Linked DNA regions of Arabidopsis thaliana. The protein of the gene in region 2 binds, or shares a complex with, the protein of the main gene of each other region. Each region holds a gene or a part of one and is shown on either strand. Other genes may lie near its edges. The genes, in order: AT5G05140, SWP, MED31 and AT3G10820.

Region 1 (5,745 bases), on a different chromosome or scaffold from region 2:
GGATATAGGTCAATTTATTCATTGCATATTGATTATAAATGAGATTTTTTATATTCTTAAAATAGTATGAATTAGACATTTTGTAGTGATATTTCCAACAACAAAAAAAGATCTCATAATTTTGTTAAAAAAAAAAAAACTAAAGACATTTCGCTGCATCAATAGTAAGATTTAAGTTCTAGAGCTTTTGGAATTGCAGTTTTTTGTTTAGTTTAAAGTTTTGAGATTATGAGTTAATGTTTTAAATTTTGAAACTTACTAAATGTTAAATGTCATTTCAGTTTTTGTACACAGACAACAATATTTTTTGTATTTTCACATGCTCAACTTTTTTTTTCTCTCACATGCTAAAGTTTACAAAAATAACCAACACATCCATACGAATTTACCATCACGCCAAAAATCATTACGTTTGTTTTTGTCCAAAAGTGTTTGGGTGTACTTATTTAATCAAACTAAAAAGTGCATTTTCCTTTTCACGAAATAAAATCGTGACCATAAAACTAGATTTATCTCTATCCAACTGTTTTTCTTTCAATAGAAATGGAGTGAAAGATTAATAGAAGTTGTAGAAGTCCACGTGGTTCATGTGGTGAAATGCGTGAACGCGTAACGCCGAGATAATAACAACATTGAATAAAAAATACCAACACGCACAAAGACCACACTGCAACAACATTCCTATCCATCCACGTTATCTCCCACCCCCCACTACCTTCTCCTCTTTTCTTATCCACCCACCTTCCTTAAGCCTTTCCAATGCCATCTTATTTTATATACATAAGTAATAAGAAATGACAACATTCGGTCACAATCACATTCATTCATAACAATTGGATATCATTATATAAATATTTATTTATTTGGAAAAAAGTGTCATCATCTCTATATTGTGTCCCAAATCATTTCACATTACTATACAAAGTTAGGTGAAGAGCCGGTCAATTTCGAATGAGCTTTTCTACCCTCTCTTTTACTATTTTTATATGATATATATGTAAAAGGGACCTCTCTCCTTGTCCCAAAACCGAACATAACCCGACTAAACCGGGACTGTACCGAAAGTCTCAAGAATGTAGTAAAGAACACATAAAAGAAACAATAATTGGTATCCCTATCTTGCTGCAATTGGTGAATCCAAGACAGAACAAAACAGAGGAGTAAACAGTTTGTTCAAAGTAAAGTTATGTTGGATTCTGTTCCTTCTCCTCTGCTTGTTTCTGTCTCCAGCTTTGTGGAACTAGACTCTGTTTACCTTTATTGCACCAGAGATTGCGAGATATGTGTGGTAAGTATGGAGTAATATCTTTTGCCGAGAATTATTCACCATTTGAACAAAGCAGAAACTATTTTCTCCCATTAGCCCAATTCCTGTTGCTCATTCCAGGTCTCTTGAGTTGCGGTTTCTGAGCACTACCTTGCTTTGGGATCATCTCAAGTACTTGTATCGTTCGCTGCTTCTTGGCTGTGGCAAGATCACAAACATTTTTAAGTTCTTTTGTTTTCAAGAATGTAACAAAAAACTCGAAACAAAAGAAAGGAAATGAAACGAACCATTCTCGTGATGCTGGTAGCTTTCTTGAAGTTTCCTCTTTGCAAACTCAAACTTTGCGTCTGCATCAAGACCTTTAAGTTTCTGCAAGGGACAAGAGCAAAAACACCATCAATTCTACGTCCAAGAATAGGATATTAGACAAGAGCTTTGTCTCCACACTCACTTCTTGTTGAGGTCCAGGAGCTTTCCGCTTCTGTTCTGTAACAACCGGTTTCCTTTGGATCATGGGTTTTTCAGACTTGTGAACAGATACCGTTTCGTTCTTCATCCTTTGCTCTGTACTTTGCTTTACAGGTCTTCTAGTCCCATCAAAATCAGTAGCTGATGATGGCTTAATAGATCTAAAAGGAGCATCTTGTATCCTCATTTGTGTTCCCTCAGGTTTTCTCTTGGCGATATTTTGTGGCCTTCTTTCATGCTCTCGGCTTGTGTTGTGTTCTTCAGAGTTACGAGGATCTGAAACAAACATCCCCAAGAAAATCAATCAACACGTAGCTAAGAACATGTTCTCAAACAAACAAGACATAGTTTTAAAACTCACTTCCATCAAAGTCCAAGGAATCAAAGAAGTGTGAGATTTCAAATCCGTTTGGTTCAGGTGTAAAGATATCAACATCATATGGAAGCGATGGAAACGCCTCTTCTTCATCAAGGACAGACGGGTTTGCAGACTCTGGTGTACCTTCAGCACCTGTTTTAAACACAAAATTAGAACCAAAGACTATGGATCTAATTCAAGAAACCAAACGGTAAGACACGAAGCCAGTCATAAAAGATCGAAAAGCGAGACAGAGAAAGCGCAATTACCAGTGATTTCCTTTGTGGTATTCACCCATTGATCCACCAACTCCTTCCATTCTCTGCATAAACATATCAAAAACTCAAATGTGAGATTCAAAAGTGCAAAAGCATAGCAAATGTCAATCAAACTTGTGAAAGATCAAAAACTCATACGCGATAAGAGTCTTAGCGAGTTGTCGAATCTTATCAGAAGAATGTTTCCTGAGGCCATTAACAGCCTTTCCAATCTCAGTACTCTGCGAGAATAACCGCAAACCTTAAGAATCTCAAGGATCATCAACAACAACTTCATACACTATCCACCAAGATAACCAACCTTAAGAATATCCACATTCAAAGACATCAACTTAAGATGTCTTAAAGAATCGAGTAACACCGAGTTTGGCTGCAAGAGAATACAAAAAAGAACCAATCAGAAAACACAAAAAAAAAATCTTCACATTGATGAAATTTCAAGAACTTGAGAATCAAACCTCATCTTCTTTGTTGAGCAAGATCTCTTTGATCCTAGCAACCTCCTTAGAAACCACAGAAAACTCTTCAATCTCATCACTCAAAGCCTCAGCTTCATCAAATGTATAATTGCTAACAATCTGATTATTATCCCCTCTGCTACTATTAGCTTTGCTCTCTTTACTACCACCAGCAACCTCATAATCTTCATCAACCGCCGTACCACCACCACCATTTCCGGTGGTTCCACGGTTAGCCTCGTCGTCTCCGGGAACAGACAATTCAAGATGGTCGCATCCGACGCAACGATTCACTCTACAGGAGAATAAAAGCTCGGCGATTTTGTCTCTTCTGGATTTGAATTTGTTAGGACAATCAGTAGCAGCCACCATGATCGCATGATCGATGATCCCGAATATATCGGAATCTCCTCGCCGTCGGAAATATTCTCTCCAGCTATCTAATGAACCCGATGCTTTCATCGTTTCTCGATTCAACAAAATCGGAGTCTAATTAACTCAAGAATTTGATTTTTTCCCCAGAAAATTTGAAGAAGAAGCAAAATAGATTTCCAGAAGAAGAAGATTGGGATCGTTGAAGATTGAAGAATTCGAAAAGAGAAGATCAGAAAATATCGAATCTACGACAGAAGATTTACTTACCAAAAAAAGATCAATCAAACTTAAAGGTTGAGACTTTGAAGATTGTTTTGTTCTCAATCAAAATATGATCAAAAACGAAAAGGATTTGTGATCAAAAGAATCTATAGAGAGAGAGATAAACACAAAATCTGTTTGGTAAGTTTTTATTAATTTATTTTTTTTGGTACCTTTCCGAATCTGACAAGAAAACTTTCCCGGAAAGCCCAGAAAGGATTTTCCCGAGAAAAAAATGCACCGCAGCAAAGATGAGAAAGAAGGAGGAAACCCAAAAAAGCAAAAGAGAGAATACAGACAGAACATGAAACAGTTTTGGTTACGTTGTCTATCTAAAACCCAAGTGCTACTACGTTAAACACAGCTACAAATTCAATTCAACAAGAAACCTTTTTATTAATTCAGAAAGAGAAATAATGAAATTTATTTATTTCCTCTGATTGAAGTCTCTCTGTATATCTGTTTGGTAAAAGAGATTTTATTTTTATTTTAAGTTGGATTTTCTTTACGGCTTTCTTTTGACCTGATCGGTCTGTTTTGGCTTTTCATTATTATTATAAAAACACATTATTCTTTTTTTCCTCACACATGCGTTGTACTTGAACGACGACACAAGTTAAGTGATTACAAGGTCAAACTCTTTTTTTTTTTTTTGGGTCATAAATCTTTTTTACGTTGGAAAATGTCAAAAGTAAATTCTACTAAGAGTGTTTAGTTAGTTATACGGACTTTAATGAGAAGCTCTGAAGAAGAGATATTTATTTCCTAATGCTGCTGATCAAAAGCGTTTATCTTCTAGTCAAAGAGTGATATATTAGAATATTTGGTAAATCCGATTCAAAACAATAGTTTCATGTTTTAACAGTTAACACTATCATTTCATTTTATTTTGTTTTATAAGAAATTGGATTAGGTACTTTAATTTGTTCAGATTTGTAAGACAGAGAAACAAGTATTTCTTTGTTTACAATGTTTTAAAAATATCTAACAAAAAAGTTGTTTTATTTTTTTTGTATCCCTTTGTACTTTGGATTAGGTACAAAATGACTCACAATGTTTTAACCTCGTTACCCTCACAGCTTTTTCATTAATTCATCGACTATTTTTTCATAACCCATACTTGTTAAGGCCATTAGGGCATCTCCATCCATGAAAAACCCACAAAGTTTTTCAAACAAAAAAAATATTAATATTATATTATAATTTGATTATTTGATTAAAAAAATATTTTTGTTAAAAAATTAAACCAATAGTAAGATGATAATTGTCATGATGGGTTGTAGAGACTATCTCAGAGTTTCTCAAGTGAGAAACTTTCTACACTCTCTCTCCTTCATTTTCATTATTTTTATTTTTTTAATTGTGAGAAACTCTTATGAGATACTCCCAATAGAGATGGTCTTAGATATGTAGTTTATTTACAATTTATCAATTGTAAATAAAAGTTACAACTCTTCACTTATACTCATAATGTTCCGGTACAATCCAACCAAACCTTAACTTAGATCATATTTATTTTAGAGAATTTACCAAAAAAAGACATAGCATGATAGCATCATGTCATCAATCATCATACATTGTCTTATTTTTGTTGTTGTTGAAAAAAAAAAAAATCAACTGTTTTTCTTTGTATTTGCATTTTCGTTTATGTTTACATGTTCCAAAATGATACCACAATCATAACTGTTTTAATTCAAAGTAAGAACTTTGTTTTGTGTTTACAAAGTTATAAAATAAGTTGGACTATTAAACTTAGCTTGATTTGTTAGAGCAACAACAGAAAATAGAAGAAGAAAAGGAAGTTTCTGTTTGTGGAATGAGAAGCATGTATTAAATGTTGGTCAACAAAATCGACCCCTAAAAATATTATAATTTGATTTTATGTTAATACGTGACAAAACGAAGTCGTACGATTTGGGACGGTGGTGATTACCAATCAGAATTTACTCACCTTCAAACGCGTGAAAAACACTGGGACTCCTTTGAGTGCTAACCTCACGGGCTTGTCACAGCCACGTTTACGTGACAGACTTTGATTGGCCGACACGTCAGCAGATATAGTGGCTGCTTTACGGTGTTTTAGTGGACCTACTTGAAGAAAATGGTGCGTGTTTTGTATACAAGAGATAAGAAATCCATCTACCACGGACGGTCTCATTACAATTTTTTTATTATCTGAATAACCAATTATAGATATAACACCTAATGTATTTTGCTAGAAGTCGACAAAAAAAAATTAGACTGGAGTTGGAAAGAAAAATTAGAATTTTTTAGGCTCAA
Region 2 (7,780 bases):
TCATATAAACGTGAGGAGGAGGAGGAGAATGAGATAAAAGGGTCCACCTGGGCCCAAAAACACCAACCCTGTTGAGAGATGTTAGGACCCTCGTGTGGGCTGGGCCCAGTCAAAAATCATTGTCTTGTTGTGTATAACAAACATTACAGGTTCACACGTGTGACACACTAGGTCCTTAAATGCTATGAATATATGTGATCTGATTTGTTTTATTTTACCATTAATAAGAAGGAGCTTAAATCGAACAAAACTGAATGATAAAACAAGATTTCACCACTGTATATATCGTAATACAATAATACATGCTGAAAAATATTAAGGTAAATGTGTAGATGTAGAGAACAACATGGCTTAAACACAACCAAACCCATAAATTTATTATTCATGGATATTGGATATATGCATTATATGCATTATTATAAATTAATTGACCTCGTATTAACATTTTTCTAGAAATTGGTGCAGGGGGTGAATCGCGTCTACATCTATGTATTTTACTACATCCCCGTCTGTAAGGATTCACTGGTTGTTCGGAGGGTGCACATGCAGAAGGATACCGATGATGATCACAAGGAAGATCAGGCTTCAACCCTGGATACCCAATTACTTTTCCAACCGTCATGTTCATGCTGCTTATGAACACACATGCTATGAATGTTGCCACTAGCATAAACCTATTTGTTATTTTCATATTGCTCATGATTTGTGTTTATTTATGTGTGTGGGAGAAATATATATTTGTTGGTAAGAATGGTACAGTTCGTGGTATTTATAGTGAATAAATAATTGTGAAAGAGTCTTATACAACTTTTACTTAAAAGGAAATTACAATAGGATGTTGAATTGACCGGTAGAAAATGTACCTACAGAATTCTTTAGTAATACATGTATTATAGATATAGTCCTTTTTTAGCCAAAGTAGTCAAACTAGCTTTTAGATATGCATGTTGTGGTCATAGTAATACTAATACAAAACAGTTTTATAGCCAAAGTAGTCAACAATATTTGAGTTCTATGTACTCTTTTTTTTTTGGTCAAAGAGTTCTATGTACTCTAATATAGTATATCAATATATTAGGTTTCATGTTCTTCCAGTACATGGAGGTGAAAACAAAGCACTTTTTTCTTACAGAAATTTTTTTACATCAATAATATGCAAATATCATAAACTAATAATAATTATAAATACACCAAAATAGTGTGTCAAAATTGGTTGTAGACAACTATTAGAATGAACACATCGCTGGGCTTTTTGGTATTGGGTTCAAAGTATATATAAAAATTCATGCTGGTTCTTTATTTGCCGCCCAACATAAATTAGTTGGACAAGTGAGAAGGCCTTGCTACTCCTACATGCGTTACACTATTACAGTATTACTATTGCTTCATAGAAAAATAAACCTCGTACCAAAATCTCAAATAAGTGTTTCTTGTGGTTCCTTATGAAAAATTGTTATACACTATTACAGTATTACTATTCACCGTTTATTGTCGGAACTCGGAACAACGTTTTCACCGTCCAATTGTTATACACACTATTCACCATATATACATTAATACATCACACATCTTCTACTTAAGAGTGTAGTGTACATTAATGATAATTTTGTAATTAACCTTTTTAATGATGGTTAAAATGTCTAATTAATAATTTAATAGTGACTTACTTGCTTACGTGGATAAAAGAGAGACCCCACACAAAAATTAGATTTTGCCGTCTGTTAAAAAAAAAGGCTTCTTCAGCCGATTTCTCCAAAAATCGTTTTTTTTTTTTTTTTTTTCATCTTCCGTTCAACGTTTTGCGTTCGACTCTTCCCTGACCCCTTTCAATTTTAAACCCTTTTTCTCTGTCTCTCTTGTCCGAATCAAATCCGGTTGCTGGAAAAGGGAAGCTTTGTGCTTTTGTCGTCGTGGTGGGGGAAGCGGAGGATAAGAACCCTAATTTTTTACGAATCGTGAGATCTCCTAAGTTTCTGAATCGGGTGGTGGCGATTTTGTTTCTTTCTCCGCGATGGCGGAATTAGGGCAACAGACGGTGGATTTCTCTGCTCTTGTTGGTCGAGCCGCAGAGGAATCGTTCCTTTCTTTTAAGGAACTTGTGGATAAGTCTAAGTCGACGGAGCTTTCTGATACTGAGAAGAAGGTTAGCCTCCTTAAGTATGTCGCTAAGACTCAGCAACGGATGCTCCGCCTCAATGCCCTCGCCAAGTGGTGTAAACAGGTTTGTCTTTCTCTGTTTCTCGCTAAGTATTAACGTTTTGGGTCTGTGGGTCGAAGTGAAAGTTTGAAGCTTTCTTGGACTGGAATTGGATATGTTGCAAGATTAGGGTTTGGTTTTGTTGATTGCATGATCTATTAGTTTTAAACACATTTCCCGTGGATATAGTTTTGATGTTTGTAGGATGATTTACAGACTTTGAATGGAATTGGAAGATCCTTTTGTGTGATCTTGTCCTTGATGGGTTTTTGTTGTTTGGATTACGTTGCTTGTCTACTAAAGTTTAGATTTGTCTCTTAAATTCCATGGAACTTCACATTCCAAGTAGGCTTATCAATGTTATCATGTACTTCTGTTATTTCTGCATATTTTAAGAAATTTATGACTGTAGTGTCTCTGTAAAAATTCAAGGTAGTTTACTTCAGATCAACGTTCCATTTTAAAAAATTATGATTTCATAGATTGTTGATGCTTGCTTGTGTTCACTTTCTTTACAGAGTAAGTATTCGAAAATTTATTGAGCTATTTATTCATTTTTGGCTAAACCTCCTGGGCTGCAGGTTCCTCTTATAAACTACTTTCAAGACCTTGGGAGTACATTATCAGCTCATGACATATGCTTCACACAAGCTGCGGATTCGCTGTTTTTTATGCATGAAGGTCTACAGCAAGCTCGCGCTCCTGTCTATGACGTTCCCTCTGCTGTTGAGATTTTGCTGACAGGTTCTTATCAGCGCCTGCCAAAGTGTCTAGATGATGTGGGCATGCAGAGCTCTTTGGATGAGCATCAACAGAAACCAGCTCTAAGAAAGCTGGAGGTACTTGTACGTTCCAAACTGCTTGAAATCACACTTCCAAAAGAAATAACAGAGGTGAAAATTTCTAAAGGTACAGTTACCTTATCTGTCGATGGGGAATTTAAAGTTCTTGTTACTCTTGGTTACCGAGGGCACCTATCCATGTGGCGGATATTGCATTTGGATCTACTTGTTGGTGAAAGAAGTGGCCCCATTAAACTTGAAGTGACAAGACGGCATATCCTTGGAGATGATTTAGAGCGTCGAATGTCCGTGGCAGAAAATCCATTCACAATTTTATATGCGGTGCTCCATGAGCTGTGCGTTGCCATTGTCATGGACACAGTCATAAGACAGGTCCGAGCTCTTCTGCAGGGGAGATGGAAAGATGCAATTCGCTTCGACTTAATTTCAGATACTGGTACCACACCAGCGAACCAAGAAGGAGAGGCAGATTCTGTTAGTCTTCGAACGCCAGGAATGAAACTTTTTTACTGGTCAGATTCTGATAAAAATTCTGGCCCATTTATTAAAATTGAACCAGGGTCAGATCTCCAGATTAAATGTTCTCACAGCACATTTGTAATTGACCCACTTACTGGCAAGGAAGCTGAGTTTTCTCTCGACCAGAGCTGCATTGACGTGGAGAAGCTTCTGCTTAAAGCTATATGCTGTAATAGATATACCCGTCTTCTTGAAATTCAGAAAGAGCTTTTGAGGAATACTCGTATTTGTCGAACTCCAAGTGATGTGATCCTTCAAGCCCTCCTGGATGAGCCTGGTATTGAGGTAAAGAAAGAGTTGTTTTCGGCTTAATGTTGAATATTTTGTTCCTTGAAAGTTGTAGGACTTTTTCCCAGGTCAGAGCTACTTACACTAGTTGGACATTTAGTATGTCACTTGCATGTCAATAGATAGATTTCTGTTTATGACACATAGCCCTTGCTAAATAATGCATAGCTTTCATGCTATAGACCATGAGATTAAGCATTAATAATCGCAAATTTAAATTTCAGAGATGGCCGAACCTAGGTTTCGATAATTTATATTTTTTCGAAAAAGTAGTTTAATTTTTGCAGTTCACATGGCCTATTGCCTAGCTTCTTTTGGCTGGGGAGCTAGTATAGTTAGGCCATATTTCTCTTGCTGTCTCAACAACTAATTGAATTTAATTGGATCATTTTCTCTTTCGCCATTCTTTTAGGGAGATAACATGGTAGACTCTAAAGAGCGAGTAGAGCCAGAGGTCTTACGAGTGCGAGCCTATGGATCTTCATTTTTCACACTGGGGATAAATATAAGGTATGATATCTTCATCTATGTATTGGGAGAGATCTTATTTTAGCTGACTATTCTCACTATATGTTATTGATTGCAGGACTGGTCGGTTTCTTCTACAGTCATCCAAGAGTATCTTGACCTCCTCCATCTTGGAGGAATTTGAAGATGCGTTAAACCAAGGAAGTATATCTGCAGTTGATGCCTTTATCAACTTGAGAAGCAAAAGTATTTTGCATTTTTTTGCTGCTATTGGCAAATTTTTGGGTCTTGAGGTAGTAATTGTTTGCCTCAGCTTGTTGTTCAAATTCACTCTCTGGAGTTGGGAGTGTTGACGTTTGCGTTTAATGCAGGTCTATGAACATGGTTTTGGTATAAACAAAGTTCCTAAAAGCCTCTTGGATGGGTCAAGCATTCTGACTTTGGGATTCCCTGACTGTGAAAGCTCTCACCTTTTGCTAATGGAGCTCGAAAAGGACTTCACACCATTGTTTAAATTACTGGAAACTCAGATGGATGGTTCGGGAAAACCTCAGTCTTTCAATGATCCAAGCAATATTTTGCGAGCTAAGAAAATTGATATAGGGCAGATACGGATTCTCGAAGATGATCTTAACTTGATTACATCCGATGTGGTTAAATTTGTATCTTCATTCTCGGATGCTGAGGGCATAAATCAAGCATCTGGACACCGTCAGCCTGGATTGGTTGACGAGGCTTTGACAGAAATGAGTGGAAGCCAGTTGAGTTTCTCTAGTGTCGTAGATGGAGTGTTTGGACTTCAGAAAGTGACATCTGCTCTTATGTCAATTGATGGACATGGTTTAGTTCCCAAAAATCTCTCTGCTGTTACCGGCCATGGAAAAGCTCCAATGTTGACTAGCTATCATTCAGATTCCTTGTATAATCGACAGGGTCCCTTACAATCTAGCTCTTATAATATGTTATCATCTCCCCCTGGGAAGGGTTCAGCTATGAAGAAGATAGCCATCTCTAACTCTGACCAGGAGTTATCCCTGATACTGTCTCCATCCCTCTCTACTGGGAATGGAGTCTCTGAGTCAGGCTCTAGACTGGTCACTGAATCCTCATTGTCACCTCTTCCCCTATGTAAGAACATTTTTCCATAGCCTTTTTTTTTACCTTCATAGAACTTTCTCAATATTAGAATTCAAAAATTTCCGTTATTTGCAGCTCAAACAGCTGATCTTGCAACATCATCTGCTGGTCCTTTGTTAAGGAAAGATCAGAAGCCCCGGAAACGTTCAGCTTCAGATTTGCTAAGATTGATCCCATCCCTCCAGGTAGTGGAAGGTGTTGCTAGTCCCAATAAGAGAAGAAAAACCTCTGAACTGGTACAGAGTGAATTAGTGAAGAGTTGGAGCCCTGCATCACAGACCTTATCCACTGCCGTGTCAACATCAACAAAAACTATAGGATGCAGCTATGGGAATCTCATAGCTGAAGCAAACAAGGGGAATGCACCTTCAAGCGTTTTTGTTTATGCTCTTCTCCATGTGGTCAGGCATTCTTCGTTGTCCATAAAGCATGCCAAACTAACTAGTCAGATGGAGGCATTGGATATTCAATATGTTGAGGAAATGGGACTAAGAGATGCATTTTCAGATATATGGTTCAGGCTTCCATTTGCTCAAAATGATTCCTGGCAACATATATGCTTGCAGCTTGGTAGACCTGGAAGCATGTGTTGGGATGTGAAAATAAATGACCAACACTTTAGGGATCTCTGGGAACTTCAAAAGGGAAGTAAAACCACACCATGGGGTTCTGGAGTTCACATTGCGAATTCATCTGATGTTGATTCTCATATCCGTTATGACCCTGAAGGTGTTGTTCTGAGCTATCAGTCTGTGGAAGCCGATAGTATAAAGAAGCTTGTGGCCGACATACAAAGGCTTTCAAATGCTAGAATGTTCTCCCTTGGTATGCGGAAACTACTTGGCATAAAGCCAGATGAAAAAACAGAAGAGTGCAGTGCTAATTCCACTATGAAAGGATCTACTGGAGGAAAAGGCAGTGGTGAGCCAGTAGATAGGTGGAGAGCTTTCAAGATTGAGGCTGTGGGATTAACAAGCCTGTGGTTTAGCTTTGGTTCAGGCGTTTTGGCGCGTTTTGTTGTCGAGTGGGAATCAGGTAAAGATGGATGCACCATGCATGTCTCTCCTGACCAACTATGGCCACATACAAAGGTGAGTAGTTCGCAGGACTTAACATTTGCTCTCTTCATGGGAAATATTTTTATTATAAGAGTTCCAAATATATGCTTTTTCTCATCGTGAGTTACTCTTGTACAGTTCTTGGAGGATTTCATAAACGGAGCAGAGGTAGAATCCCTTTTGGATTGCATTCGCCTTACTGCTGGGCCTTTGCATGCATTAGCTGCCGCTACTCGCCCTGCCCGAGCTAGTACTGCCACTGGCATGCCTGTTGTACCTGCTACAGCGTCTTCAAGACAATCAAATCAGATACAACAAACTCAAGGAATCATTGCCCCTTCAACTTTAGCAGCTCCTAATGCTACTGGCCAGTCTGCCTCAGCAACTTCAGGAAATACTGTTGCTTCTTCTGCTCCAAGCCCACTTGGTGGAGGTTTCCATGGAGTTGCAATGCTAGCAGCTGCAGGGAGAAGCGGACCTGGCATCGTTCCAAGCTCTCTCTTGCCCATCGATGTCTCTGTAGTACTCCGTGGACCCTATTGGATAAGGATCATATACCGTAAACGTTTTGCAGTAGACATGAGATGTTTTGCTGGAGATCAAGTCTGGTTGCAGCCAGCAACTCCACCCAAGGGTGGTGCTTCTATTGGAGGCTCCTTGCCATGTCCCCAATTCAGACCTTTCATCATGGAGCATGTTGCTCAAGAATTGAACGGTTTAGAACCAAATTTGACAGGTAGCCAAGGAGCAACAAATCCCAACAGTGGAAACCCAACTGTTAACGGTGTGAACAGAGTTAACTTTTCCCCTTCTAGTGCAAGAGCTGCAATGAATCGAGTAGCCAGTGTTGCTTCAGGATCTTTAGTGGTTAGCTCAGGATTGCCTGTGCGTAGAACACCAGGCACTGCTGTACCAGCGCATGTAAGAGGTGAATTAAACACAGCGATAATCGGTTTAGGTGATGACGGTGGCTATGGCGGAGGATGGGTTCCTCTTGTGGCTCTTAAAAAGGTTTTGCGTGGTATCCTTAAATATCTTGGAGTACTGTGGCTATTTGCTCAGTTACCAGATCTCTTAAGAGAGATCTTGGGTTCCATCTTGAAGGATAACGAAGGCGCTCTCTTGAATTTAGACCAAGAACAACCAGCCTTACGCTTCTTTGTCGGGTAAGCCAAACCAAGAAACTTATGCTCAATCTTGAAGGATTATGCTTAAGCTTATCTATTGTTTTGTTTTTTTGTTGTTTTTGTTTTTGCAGTGGCTATGTGTTTGCGGTGAGTGTCCATAGAGTTCAGCTCCTTCTTCAAGTC
Region 3 (3,848 bases), on a different chromosome or scaffold from region 2:
TTTTTCTCTTGATGATGGTATTTTAATTATAATTTTAGAGAAAAGTGGACTATTTCCAAAATTTGGTTTTGATTGCAATCACACATTAGCCCCAAAATTTGGACTATATTAACAAACCTCCCTATAATTAATCATTCAATGGAGAAGAATCTCAACATTTTAAGGTATCAAAGTCATTTCTAATCCATAAGTGTTCATGTTCTTCTTTTATTCATATCCTTGAGTTATGCTATTTTCTTCTCCTTTCTTGAACCGTGAGTTACGTTATACGAGTTTCATCACATATCAAGTTTCGTATACCATGGTCCATAGCACACTCTGTCATGTTTGGGTCTTCTAACTGTTGTCAAAGATACGTCAAAGAGTCATTTCGTACAATTTCCACCAACAAGTGCAACATGGAAACCCCACTCCTAATTAATGTTTTACCGGCAGAAGCAATCTCTGCCAAGGACAAATGTTTGGCATTCCCATAATTTTTCCTATTGCTTCTAAGCTTCTCAAAAAAAATAAAGTGTTGCAATTGTCAAGATCGATAGGAACAAAGATAAAGACTGATACTGATTGGGGGTTGTTGTATATCATAGACAAAGATTGAACACCATATATGACAACTTCCATAAACGGCCTATGACACGGAATGAGTAATACCGAGTTTCCAACATTTTTGTAACCTGAGTCAAGTAGGCTTCCCTCCTAGGACATGGAGGAAACCATATCTGACGACTGACGCCATGGTGTATGCTTCAGGGCAGGAAATGCTTATATACCCTTCCTGACATTATATGACTCACATATTAGAGTGTTGCTTTTTTTCGTAACACATTTGCAGTCATCTTAAAAACACACACAAAATGGTCATCATTATCAAGAAGAAGAAAGGAGCACATACTTTCTCTTCCTACGATCAATTCCAGTAGCACCCATATTCCTAGTGTCATTCTTAGAAAGCATATTATTGTACTGCATTGGAGAAAGGGCTGGAGAGAGAGCAGCAGTTGCAGATGGTGCAGGTGGCAAAGAAGTTGAAGGTGCAACTGGTGGTTGTGGAGGTACAGGCTCTGGAAGAGGCCGAGGTAGAATGTGCTTCAGTCTGTTGTTTCTGTAGTTCTTCCAATAGTAAAACTGTTGTCTATGCGCCAATTCCTGGAAAAATCCAGATTCAACCGAAGACAAAGTTCAAAACTTAAGAAAACTTCAACAACAATAGATTTCCTATAAGAAATTCTGACAAAGGACATAAAGTTTAGAATATTAAACAACTTTCTCTATCTCATGAATAGATGGGCATAAACGCAGAATCACAGAACCAAACTAGCAGAACGTAAGCAAGGTTTTGTACTAGAGAGACCCTAAACTCTACAAGTCCCCAAAACACATTCCAAAAACACCAGTACCCTAACATTTTGAACCACTCCCTATTCACAATGCTCACTAACATGCTGATTTCACTTGATGATTCATATCGTATTCTTGTACCTTGTTTGCAGGATGAGCCATAGCAGTCCTGAAGTTGGGGTTTTGAAGAAGTTCAAGGAAATATAGGCAGTGTGGGTACCTGTAACAAGAACATAGGAAACCAAAGATATATTATCCAAACCTTCACAAGACTCTACAAGACTACACCAATTCCATAAGATATTCCAACTTACATAATGAACTTGATGTACTCTGGTCGCTGCCAGTATTGAAGATACTTCAAGTATCCAATAAATGCTTCATCTTCAAAATACCGATTCTGTGCCAGGTCTGCCAAACAGTAACCAAAAGCAGAATGTGGTAAGTACAAACCCTAAGCCTTAGAACAAATCCCTTTTTAAATCTCAATTTCGAACACTAAAACCCTAAGCCATAGAACGAATTCTAAACTTACAGTGGATGTAAGTAGGATTGGCGAGACATTGAATAAATTCAAGTTCCAGTAAGAATCGTTGCCTTCCACCGTCGGGATCCTTGTAAGTGTTTTTTGGCCTGTAGAGATGCGAATTAGATAATAAAAGAGCAGATTTGAAGAATATGAAAGTGTACAAGAGGAAGAAGATGCACTCACGGGGATGGAATTTCTGATGCATCATCACCCATCTCCTCTGGCGAAGCCATGAACGAACGGAACCTGAAGCAAATTTGGATTCTCCCAATAGAGGAATCAGACGGAGGTAGACGGAGGATTTTGGTTCTGATTTCTGAATTGAATTTTGGTTATAAACCAAAGGCCTAAACCGGTTCTGAATGCAAATAGAAAAAGAGATTGGAAAATTAGTACAAAATTACGGTTTAAGAAGCGGTCTTTTTTTTTTTTTTTCCACAAGAAGCGGTCTTAAAAGAACCGTTATACTCGGTAGCAGATGGAGAAGTCTCTGCCCAAACTTGGAGTTACTTTACATTCAAAGATTCACTTGGTGGCATTTTTAGTCATGTTATGAATCTCTTTCTTACTTATCTCAAGATTATGAATCACAAGGACAAATCTTGAATTTTGAAACATGGACCGGAATCTTTATGCAATCATACAAAAGTTTTTTTGTGACCAATCGATATAGATGTTGCAACTCTTTGTCATGCTAACTATGGTTGAGGATTATAGCAGACAGAAAATCTGAGGACATTTGGCTCCAATGAGTTGGCCCTCAAAAATGTATACTGTACATTGTAATGTTGTAATCCCCGCAAAATGTGACAGCTAAAAAGCTAGAGTTTCCCACAGTTAAAAAAAAAAATCAAAAGACAAGAGCCATCAGACCCTGGACTGACCTATGCAACTCCCAAGACAGTTTTCGTATCCAGCCTGCGTGCTGTACTCAGTTCTTACTTGCCAATCAACACCTTGTGCCAACTTGCCAAGACAAGTTCTGTTTCAGAAGTTAATGGCCTTCAAATTCAGGTGATGGCTTTACAAGTTTTCACCATAGCTTGTGAATCCCAATTGCTAAATCTGATGAGATGGAGACGAGCAGCGGATAAGAAGAGTGCCACTCGGCTTTGAACACTCTTTTCTTATGAGCTTTCATCGAGAGAGACGGGCTCGGTGCATTGTATCGGATATCAAAGATGTGGATCACGGGGTCTGCAGAACCAGATGAGATGTGTAAACCATCTGGAGACCAAGACTGATTAATTAGAGCCGACTGCGATTCACTGCTTTCTTGCTTCCACCCAAAAGAAAATAGTTCTGTCTGAGGCAATCTAACATCATACAACCGCAGTTGCCGGTCTAGCTGCCTGCAAACACAACACAAGCAAAAGAACGGACTTTAAGGCAATCGCTTCTTCTGGGATATATATAAATCAAGAGTCAGTTTTACCTCGTGTTAACCATGACAAGATTAACATCTCGCGGGTTTGGCATTATATTTGTGCATCTGTTGTCTAGTCTATGTTTAAATGTGACTTTTTCTTCTCGGGCATCAAACCCAACAAATCTCCTATCGTCTCCACATGACAAGACGTGATTGTTATGGCGCATTCCAGTAACTCCCATCACAGCCGACGAATGCAAGTCCCTATGCAGAAGCGTCGGCTTCCACGCATTATTCTCACACTGATCCCGCCATAACACTACTGCATGGTCACTCCCACCTGTGATGAAGCAAGGATCATCCCAAGGCGTAAACATGATTCTGTTGATAAGACCTTTGCTATGAGGCCTGTCCTCCATAAATTGCGACTCACATCTCTGCAGATGAACAGATATCCAAAAAGAAATGAGCACATAACTAACTTCCCCAAGGATAAAAGACTATAACCATCAAGTTAGATCTTACAACTAGTAGATAAGTCAAGGGTCGAATCAAATTCCCAATTATTCCAGCTATATTGATTTTTTTCTTTCTAACAGGTTATGAAGACCA
Region 4 (6,031 bases), 2.1 Mb from region 2:
TCTTTCTATAAGATTCTGACAATGAATTAGAAATTGGAACCAAATATTGTGCATTGTATGTCTGAACTCTGAACCAATGACATCATACTATCTTCATGTTTCTAATAGTTCTGATTGTGACGGGAGATACGGACCGTATTGTGCCAGCATGGAACGCAGAGAGGCTGGCACGAGCCATACCGGGATCAGTGTTCGAAGTAATTAAGAAATGTGGTCATCTTCCTCAAGAGGAAAAACCAGATGAATTCATATCTATTGTTGCAAAGTTTCTAGGGAATGCTTTTGGAGGGTCACAACAACAAGACGTGGACTTGAAGTTCCAAGGCATTGTATCATGAAGTATAACTATATATTTTAGCTCAATCAAGACTAAATTTTAGAGAGATTCTTCATGTTATTGGACCTGAAGAAACAAATGTCGACAATATCAAAGACTAGATAGATATAGAATAAAATAACCGAGAGACATTGATTCTTCAACAGATTGATATATAAGCGAGAATAATACACCATGTGGTGCTTCTTGCGAGTGCGGGCAAGTTTTGCAGAGTCCAGTTGATTAGCTTGGAGCTTGAAGCTGGCTTGAAGCTCCAACTCGTCAAGCCAACGCAAAGTTTCTGGAAGAACAAAGTCGGCAACATTTTGAAACTCAAAGCGAGGGGTGCAAAGGACTGTGCAGTCTTCCTCAGCCAAGAGGGCGACATGCTTCTTGTTCGTCAGAGTAGCAGCAGTCTCATCTTCCAGATTCTTCTCATTCGCCTGAGCCATGTACTGCCTGAACTTTTCGAGATAAGCCAAACTAGGGGCGCATCTCATTGCAATAGTAAACATGTAACCAAGAGCATCCACTTTCAGGCGCTTGCACTTGTCCAGTGAATCACAATCTCATGCGGATACTGTGAATCAGTTTCCTTGCATATAGCAACTTGTTGGCGAGCAAGAGACAAGTGAGTAGGATCAAATCGCTGATAGAGGAGGCCACCGGGATGAGTTCGATTGCGGGGAGGAAACTCTCTAGAAACCTTAGAGAGCATATGCATAAAGGTTTTCCCTACGCACCTAACCGTCTCGACGGAAGTCTTATGGATAAGGTCAAACTTAGGGCAAGCCTTGGCCTCGAACCTGACAAAGAGTGATCTCGTAAGGTCCTTGAGAGAAACAGATACGATGGCATCAACAAAATCCTTTTCAGTTAGAAGGACACTCATCTTCTTGAAAATCATCATCTCATCCACCATCTCTGCTTTATCTATCTGCACAAGTACGAGTCCAAAATATACAGGAATATCAATCATCAACTCATCATGTCTACATATGCAGCTAAATTTCAATTCTATGCAATGCAAACAGAGACCATTGTTTTACCAAACCTATGCTCTCACTTATGTTTATCAATAAAGGCCACAAAATTAGGGCTTTTCGATTTCCAATCAAAGACTTTCGGTTGTATCCCCGACGTACAAAATCTAGGCCAGAATTCTTAACAGCTCAACGTTTAACCCATCAGGTTTATCGATAACTAGCACTAGGAAAACAAAATTTACAACAAGGAAAATTGAAGTAGGTACCTTGAGAATTGGGAGGAACTATCACGAGGATTCGCGAGATTGAGGATGAGGGAAGGTAACTCGTAACCCTAGGAATTTATCACTCTGTTATATTTCACCTCATAAGTGATATTAAAAATTACAAAATCTTTGTATAAACAGATTTAAAAAGTTTGCTTGCCTCGCAAGTTAGGTTTAGGGATGGTCAAATACGAGAAGCCCTTTTGTCCTAATAATTTTCTTTTTTATTTTCATAATGAAACATGAAGAAAGTGAAAAAGGGATTTTCCCTTGTCACAATTATGAGGTTCTATTGTCACAAAACCGGACCAAACCGGGAATTCACTGGACCAGAAGTACCAATAAATACTGGGACAAAAGAATAGAGCATCCTAAGAAGTTTATGTTGGATCTGTCAATGCACTTTTGTTGTATATTAACGCCTCTGAATGGTCGTAGTAATTGTATAGATCATCCGAAGGAAAAAATGGACTATCTTCGTGTGGCGGGTCTCTTGAGTTGCGGTTTCTGAACTTTATTTTGCTTTGGGATAGTTTCCAGTACTTGTATCGTCCTCTGTCTCTTAGCTGTTCAAAAACAAATGGGTCATTAAGAATTAGGTGTATTGTAATAGTGGAAATATTGAAATCTCTTAAGACGATTTGACTAACCATTCTCATGTTGGTGGTAGCTCTCTTGGAGTTTCCGCTTTGCAAACTCAAACTTTGAGTCTGGATCCAGAGCTTTGAGTTTCTGAACAAAGACAAGAACACTTGCTATTAGAAACAAAACAGATTAATAATCAAACACCACGGCTTTATTAACTCAAACACTCACATCTTGTTGAGGTCCAGCAAGTTTCCGCTTTTGCTCAGTAACAGCAGTTGGTTTTCGTTGGATTGCGGATACCATTTGTTCTCTACTTTGCTTTGTTTGTCTTTTAGGCTCGACAACATCTGTGGCTGAGTGCTTCATAGGTCTAACATCAGCTTCTTCTCTCCTCGTCTGTTGATCATTGCAGTACCTCCCAACCACATTTGCATCATTTGTTCCCTTGGGTCTCCTCCCCGCACTACTTTGCGATTTTCTTTCATGTTTGGACTCCACACTGTGACGAGGATCTGAAAACAGTGGCCACCATGAGTGTCAAAATATAGGAAAACTTTCAAGTAGAGAACAGAGTACCAAAGAGTATACTAACTCACTTCCATCGCAGTCCAAACAATCTAAGATCTTCAAGTGACCCAAGACATTATGAAACAAGGACGAGGGAGGAAACTTGTCAGGATAACATTTCGTCTATGCCAGAAATAAAATATGATGAGAGGGAAAAATGTTAATAGACCTGAGAAAGTTCAAACCCATTAGGTTCAGGTGCATAGATATCTAAATCATGTGGAGGAGAAGGAAAGGCTTCTTCTTCATCAATTACTGAAAGGTTTAGAGACTCTGGCGTCCCTTCAGTGCCTGCAAGACCCAATTACTATAAATCTAGACCAAAACCTGCTCGCACTGACTACGGAACAGGAGGAGAGAGCTATTTACCAGCCATTTCCTCTGGGGTGTTCATCCACTGGTCCACCAGCCTCTTCCACTCTCTGTGCATCCCATATATAAAAACACAATCTTTATACTCGGGAGCCAGAAAGTAAGGAAGAGTAAAATGTTCTAAGTATTGAGCTAACACAAGAGCAGCTCCCTAATGATCAACCAAGGCTTTTATAATGACATTTTACAATTTGAGACATCCTACAAGGCAACTGGTTTGCATCTAAATCAAACCGTGGAGGTTCAATTTTTTTGGAACATTTTGCCAAAGTTTAATTCACATCACAGATGCGAGAGTATGAGAACAAATGAAACTAAGCACACAATGAGAATGATGAAACTCATACGCGAAAAGAGTCTTTGCAAGTTTGCTAATCTTATCGGAACTATGTCTCCTCAGACCATTAACAGCCTTTCCAATTTCAGTATCCTGCAAGAACGTAAACACTTAAATCACTCCACAGCCTCGAAAAGCTCCATCAGAATAAGCAACTTCCACTACACCAAATCATACAATATCAAAACAACACCAAAAAAACAAACCTTAAGAATGTCCACACTCATAGACATTGACTCAAGCTTTCTCAGAGATTCGAGTAACACAGAATCTTTCTGCAAAAAAGATGACAGAAACCAAAAACTCAACAATCAACACAAAGATTCCAAATTTAACCAATGAATTAGCACAAGTTTTAATGTAATCCAAGCAAAGAGACTAAAAACCTCATCGTCTTTGTTCGACAAGATATCTCTGATCCTCATAACCTCATCAACACTCACAGACGCCTCTTCACCTTCACCCGTCGCAACACCAGAATCACCCCTATCACCGCCGCCGCCAACTCCAACTATCTCCACCGCCGCTTCGTCTCCAGCTATCGAGAGCTCAAGGTGGTCACAACCAATGCAGCGACTCACTTTACAAGAGAAGAGAAGCTCAGCAATTCTATCACTCCTGGATTTAAACTCCTTTGGCCAATCTGCAGCAGCTACCATAATCGCATGATCAATGATACCAAAAATATCAGAATCTCCTCGCCGGAAATACTCTCTCCAAGTATCCAACGAAACAGATGGTCTCATCTTCGCCATCACGAAACGGCGAGGGAAAATCGATTCCGGAATCCGAATTCCTCGATCTGCAAAACCCTAATTAAATTTGAATTTAGGTTTTTGAATACGAATCAATATAGTACTAGTTGTGTAGTTTTTTTTTTTTTTAAGTTTCTCTGCAGGAAATAAAATTCGCCTGAGAATCTGACAAAAGTTTCTGCAGAAAGTCCACAAGAACTTTCCCGAGAAAACTTAAAGAAACAGAGCTTGAGCCAATTAAAAGAGGGCAAGAGAAGAAGACCCTAGAATTTTAAAAAGCCAGAAATTTATGTCGACATTAAAAAACTTAGGTTATAAAAAAAAATGGTAATAGTTTTGATCATTTATCTTGATAACTCATCTGTTTTATTTAAGTAAAATATTGAATTTGTCAATATATATATTAATTCTAAAGATATAGGCTTATGATTAACTGAATGATTATTTAGTTAATAGTAAATTAGTAATAACTAGACTATACATGTGTCGTCCTATATGACATAATGACCCTTGATGAAAAACACGTCACATGGCCTAGCTAGTATAAAGATGGGATATTCGTTTTTTTAAAGTTATGTTATCAACATTACATTCAGAGCATACTGTAATAGTAAATTATTAACACATTACACATGTCCTGATACCAACAATGGGGTACTCATTTTTCAAAGTTATGGATAATTACATTTATCACGTGAATTACTTGAAAGGTAATCTAAATAAACGCGTTTTTGGTGTCGCAATTATGTCGTTTTAAAAAGCATTGTTCATAGTCCCACAGATGTTTAGCACTATTTTTTAATTAGTACTAGTATTAAATTATTATTTTTGTATTTTTTTCATTAAATTTCTCGTTAGTTTCGTGCTTTGACTCTTTTGTTAAGCTTCAGCCACATGTTCCCGTTGTTGAAGCTGTCTTTTGAAGTTTCGTCGTCGATATCATCCTCGACTCTATTTTCAGTTGCGTTAAAGACTTCTCTTCTTCCAAAAGTTTCCTTTTCTTCTATTTTAAATATTCTTTCAGCACTTGGAGATTCACAAGTTTGTCGGATCAATCCATTTTAACTCCGGTAAGCCATACTTGCATGATTCGTTTTGTTTCCACCGATCACATGTTATCGTTTATGCTCCATAGCTTAATCTTTGACTCATTCATGATCTTTTTTTGGTTTAATGTTAAAACCCATGCATGATCTTGTTTCTGCATATTTTTGTTTTGGTTCAGTGTAAAAATTTCTGCATAATTTTGGTTCTACAAAAATAGCTACTATGCAAAAGCAAGATCACGGGGTCAAAGATTAAGCTATGGAGCTTAAACACTACTTGTATTTGACTATTTGTTTCTACGTCATTTGCGTTTGATTTGAATCTAAAGGCCTTTTAATCGATTTCTTGTCATGTGTTTGTAAGGGTTCAGTGTTTTATGTATCTTTCAAATTGTGCTTCTAGTGTATCCATTTTGGATTTGTGAAAGTTGTTTAGGGCTTATATATCTAAAATTGTAAAACCTATTTTAAATTAATATAACAAAACAGTTTCGGACTTTTAACTCATAATATCTCTTCGAATTTAGTTCATTTTCCAACTTTGAAATTCGTTGGCTTGTGATCTTGAAGCCTTGTTCCGTCCGGAATTTATGTTACTTAGTCACCAGTAGAGTTACAAACGATGAGTTATTTTAATCTTTTTTCTAAAAGGTCCTTGACAATGGTTTGACGAGAAAAAATCGTTTTTCCTTTTTGCAGATCCATGACTACGACTAGGCGGAAAAATACACATTGGTGTCATACTTGTAGACGAGGAATCCATCTTCAAGGAGAAGGCAGAAGAGAAGGAGCTTGCAT

Evidence for each region.
Region 1: SWP (region 2) and AT5G05140 share a complex: the UniProt entries of both Arabidopsis thaliana proteins name them as parts of the mediator complex.
Region 3: SWP (region 2) and MED31 share a complex: the UniProt entries of both Arabidopsis thaliana proteins name them as parts of the mediator complex.
Region 4: SWP (region 2) and AT3G10820 share a complex: the UniProt entries of both Arabidopsis thaliana proteins name them as parts of the mediator complex.

What each region holds. Positions count from the first base shown.
Region 1 is NC_003076.8:1,517,899-1,523,643, reverse strand, and holds AT5G05140 (Transcription elongation factor (TFIIS) family protein), read right to left. Parts: upstream 3,940-5,745; 5' UTR 3,292-3,939; coding exon 2,830-3,291; intron 2,742-2,829; coding exon 2,673-2,741; intron 2,593-2,672; coding exon 2,510-2,592; intron 2,416-2,509; coding exon 2,363-2,415; intron 2,247-2,362; coding exon 2,097-2,246; intron 2,012-2,096; coding exon 1,719-2,011; intron 1,637-1,718; coding exon 1,555-1,636; intron 1,466-1,554; coding exon 1,347-1,465; 3' UTR 507-1,346; downstream 1-506. UniProt on the Arabidopsis thaliana protein: Component of the Mediator complex, a coactivator involved in the regulated transcription of nearly all RNA polymerase II-dependent genes.
Region 2 is NC_003074.8:1,292,026-1,299,805, forward strand, and holds the start of SWP (RNA polymerase II transcription mediator), read left to right. Parts: upstream 1-1,772; 5' UTR 1,773-2,011; coding exon 2,012-2,221; intron 2,222-2,778; coding exon 2,779-3,804; intron 3,805-4,219; coding exon 4,220-4,317; intron 4,318-4,393; coding exon 4,394-4,568; intron 4,569-4,646; coding exon 4,647-5,403; intron 5,404-5,487; coding exon 5,488-6,503; intron 6,504-6,608; coding exon 6,609-7,636; intron 7,637-7,728; coding exon 7,729-7,780. Other genes in the region: RALFL21 (RALF-like 21), read right to left, coding at 383-700. UniProt on the Arabidopsis thaliana protein: Component of the Mediator complex, a coactivator involved in the regulated transcription of nearly all RNA polymerase II-dependent genes.
Region 3 is NC_003076.8:6,730,722-6,734,569, forward strand, and holds MED31 (SOH1 family protein), read right to left. Parts: upstream 2,270-3,848; 5' UTR 2,101-2,269; coding exon 2,051-2,100; intron 1,972-2,050; coding exon 1,874-1,971; intron 1,750-1,873; coding exon 1,653-1,749; intron 1,559-1,652; coding exon 1,480-1,558; intron 1,415-1,479; coding exon 1,325-1,414; intron 1,147-1,324; coding exon 893-1,146; intron 776-892; coding exon 763-775; 3' UTR 515-762; downstream 1-514. Other genes in the region: AT5G19920 (Transducin/WD40 repeat-like superfamily protein), read right to left, coding at 2,901-3,219, 3,303-3,673. UniProt on the Arabidopsis thaliana protein: Component of the Mediator complex, a coactivator involved in the regulated transcription of nearly all RNA polymerase II-dependent genes.
Region 4 is NC_003074.8:3,385,514-3,391,544, reverse strand, and holds AT3G10820 (Transcription elongation factor (TFIIS) family protein), read right to left. Parts: upstream 4,346-6,031; 5' UTR 4,188-4,345; coding exon 3,819-4,187; intron 3,708-3,818; coding exon 3,639-3,707; intron 3,526-3,638; coding exon 3,443-3,525; intron 3,146-3,442; coding exon 3,093-3,145; intron 3,015-3,092; coding exon 2,893-3,014; intron 2,781-2,892; coding exon 2,753-2,780; intron 2,669-2,752; coding exon 2,385-2,668; intron 2,301-2,384; coding exon 2,219-2,300; intron 2,135-2,218; coding exon 2,041-2,134; coding exon of another isoform or gene 2,040-2,040; exon of another isoform or gene 1,917-2,039; coding exon 1,883-1,916; exon of another isoform or gene 1,637-1,882; coding exon 1,569-1,636; intron 1,393-1,568; exon of another isoform or gene 1,309-1,392; coding exon 852-1,308; 3' UTR 542-851; downstream 1-541. Other genes in the region: AT3G10840 (alpha/beta-Hydrolases superfamily protein), read left to right, coding at 109-338; AT3G10815 (RING/U-box superfamily protein), read left to right, coding at 5,937-6,031. UniProt on the Arabidopsis thaliana protein: Component of the Mediator complex, a coactivator involved in the regulated transcription of nearly all RNA polymerase II-dependent genes.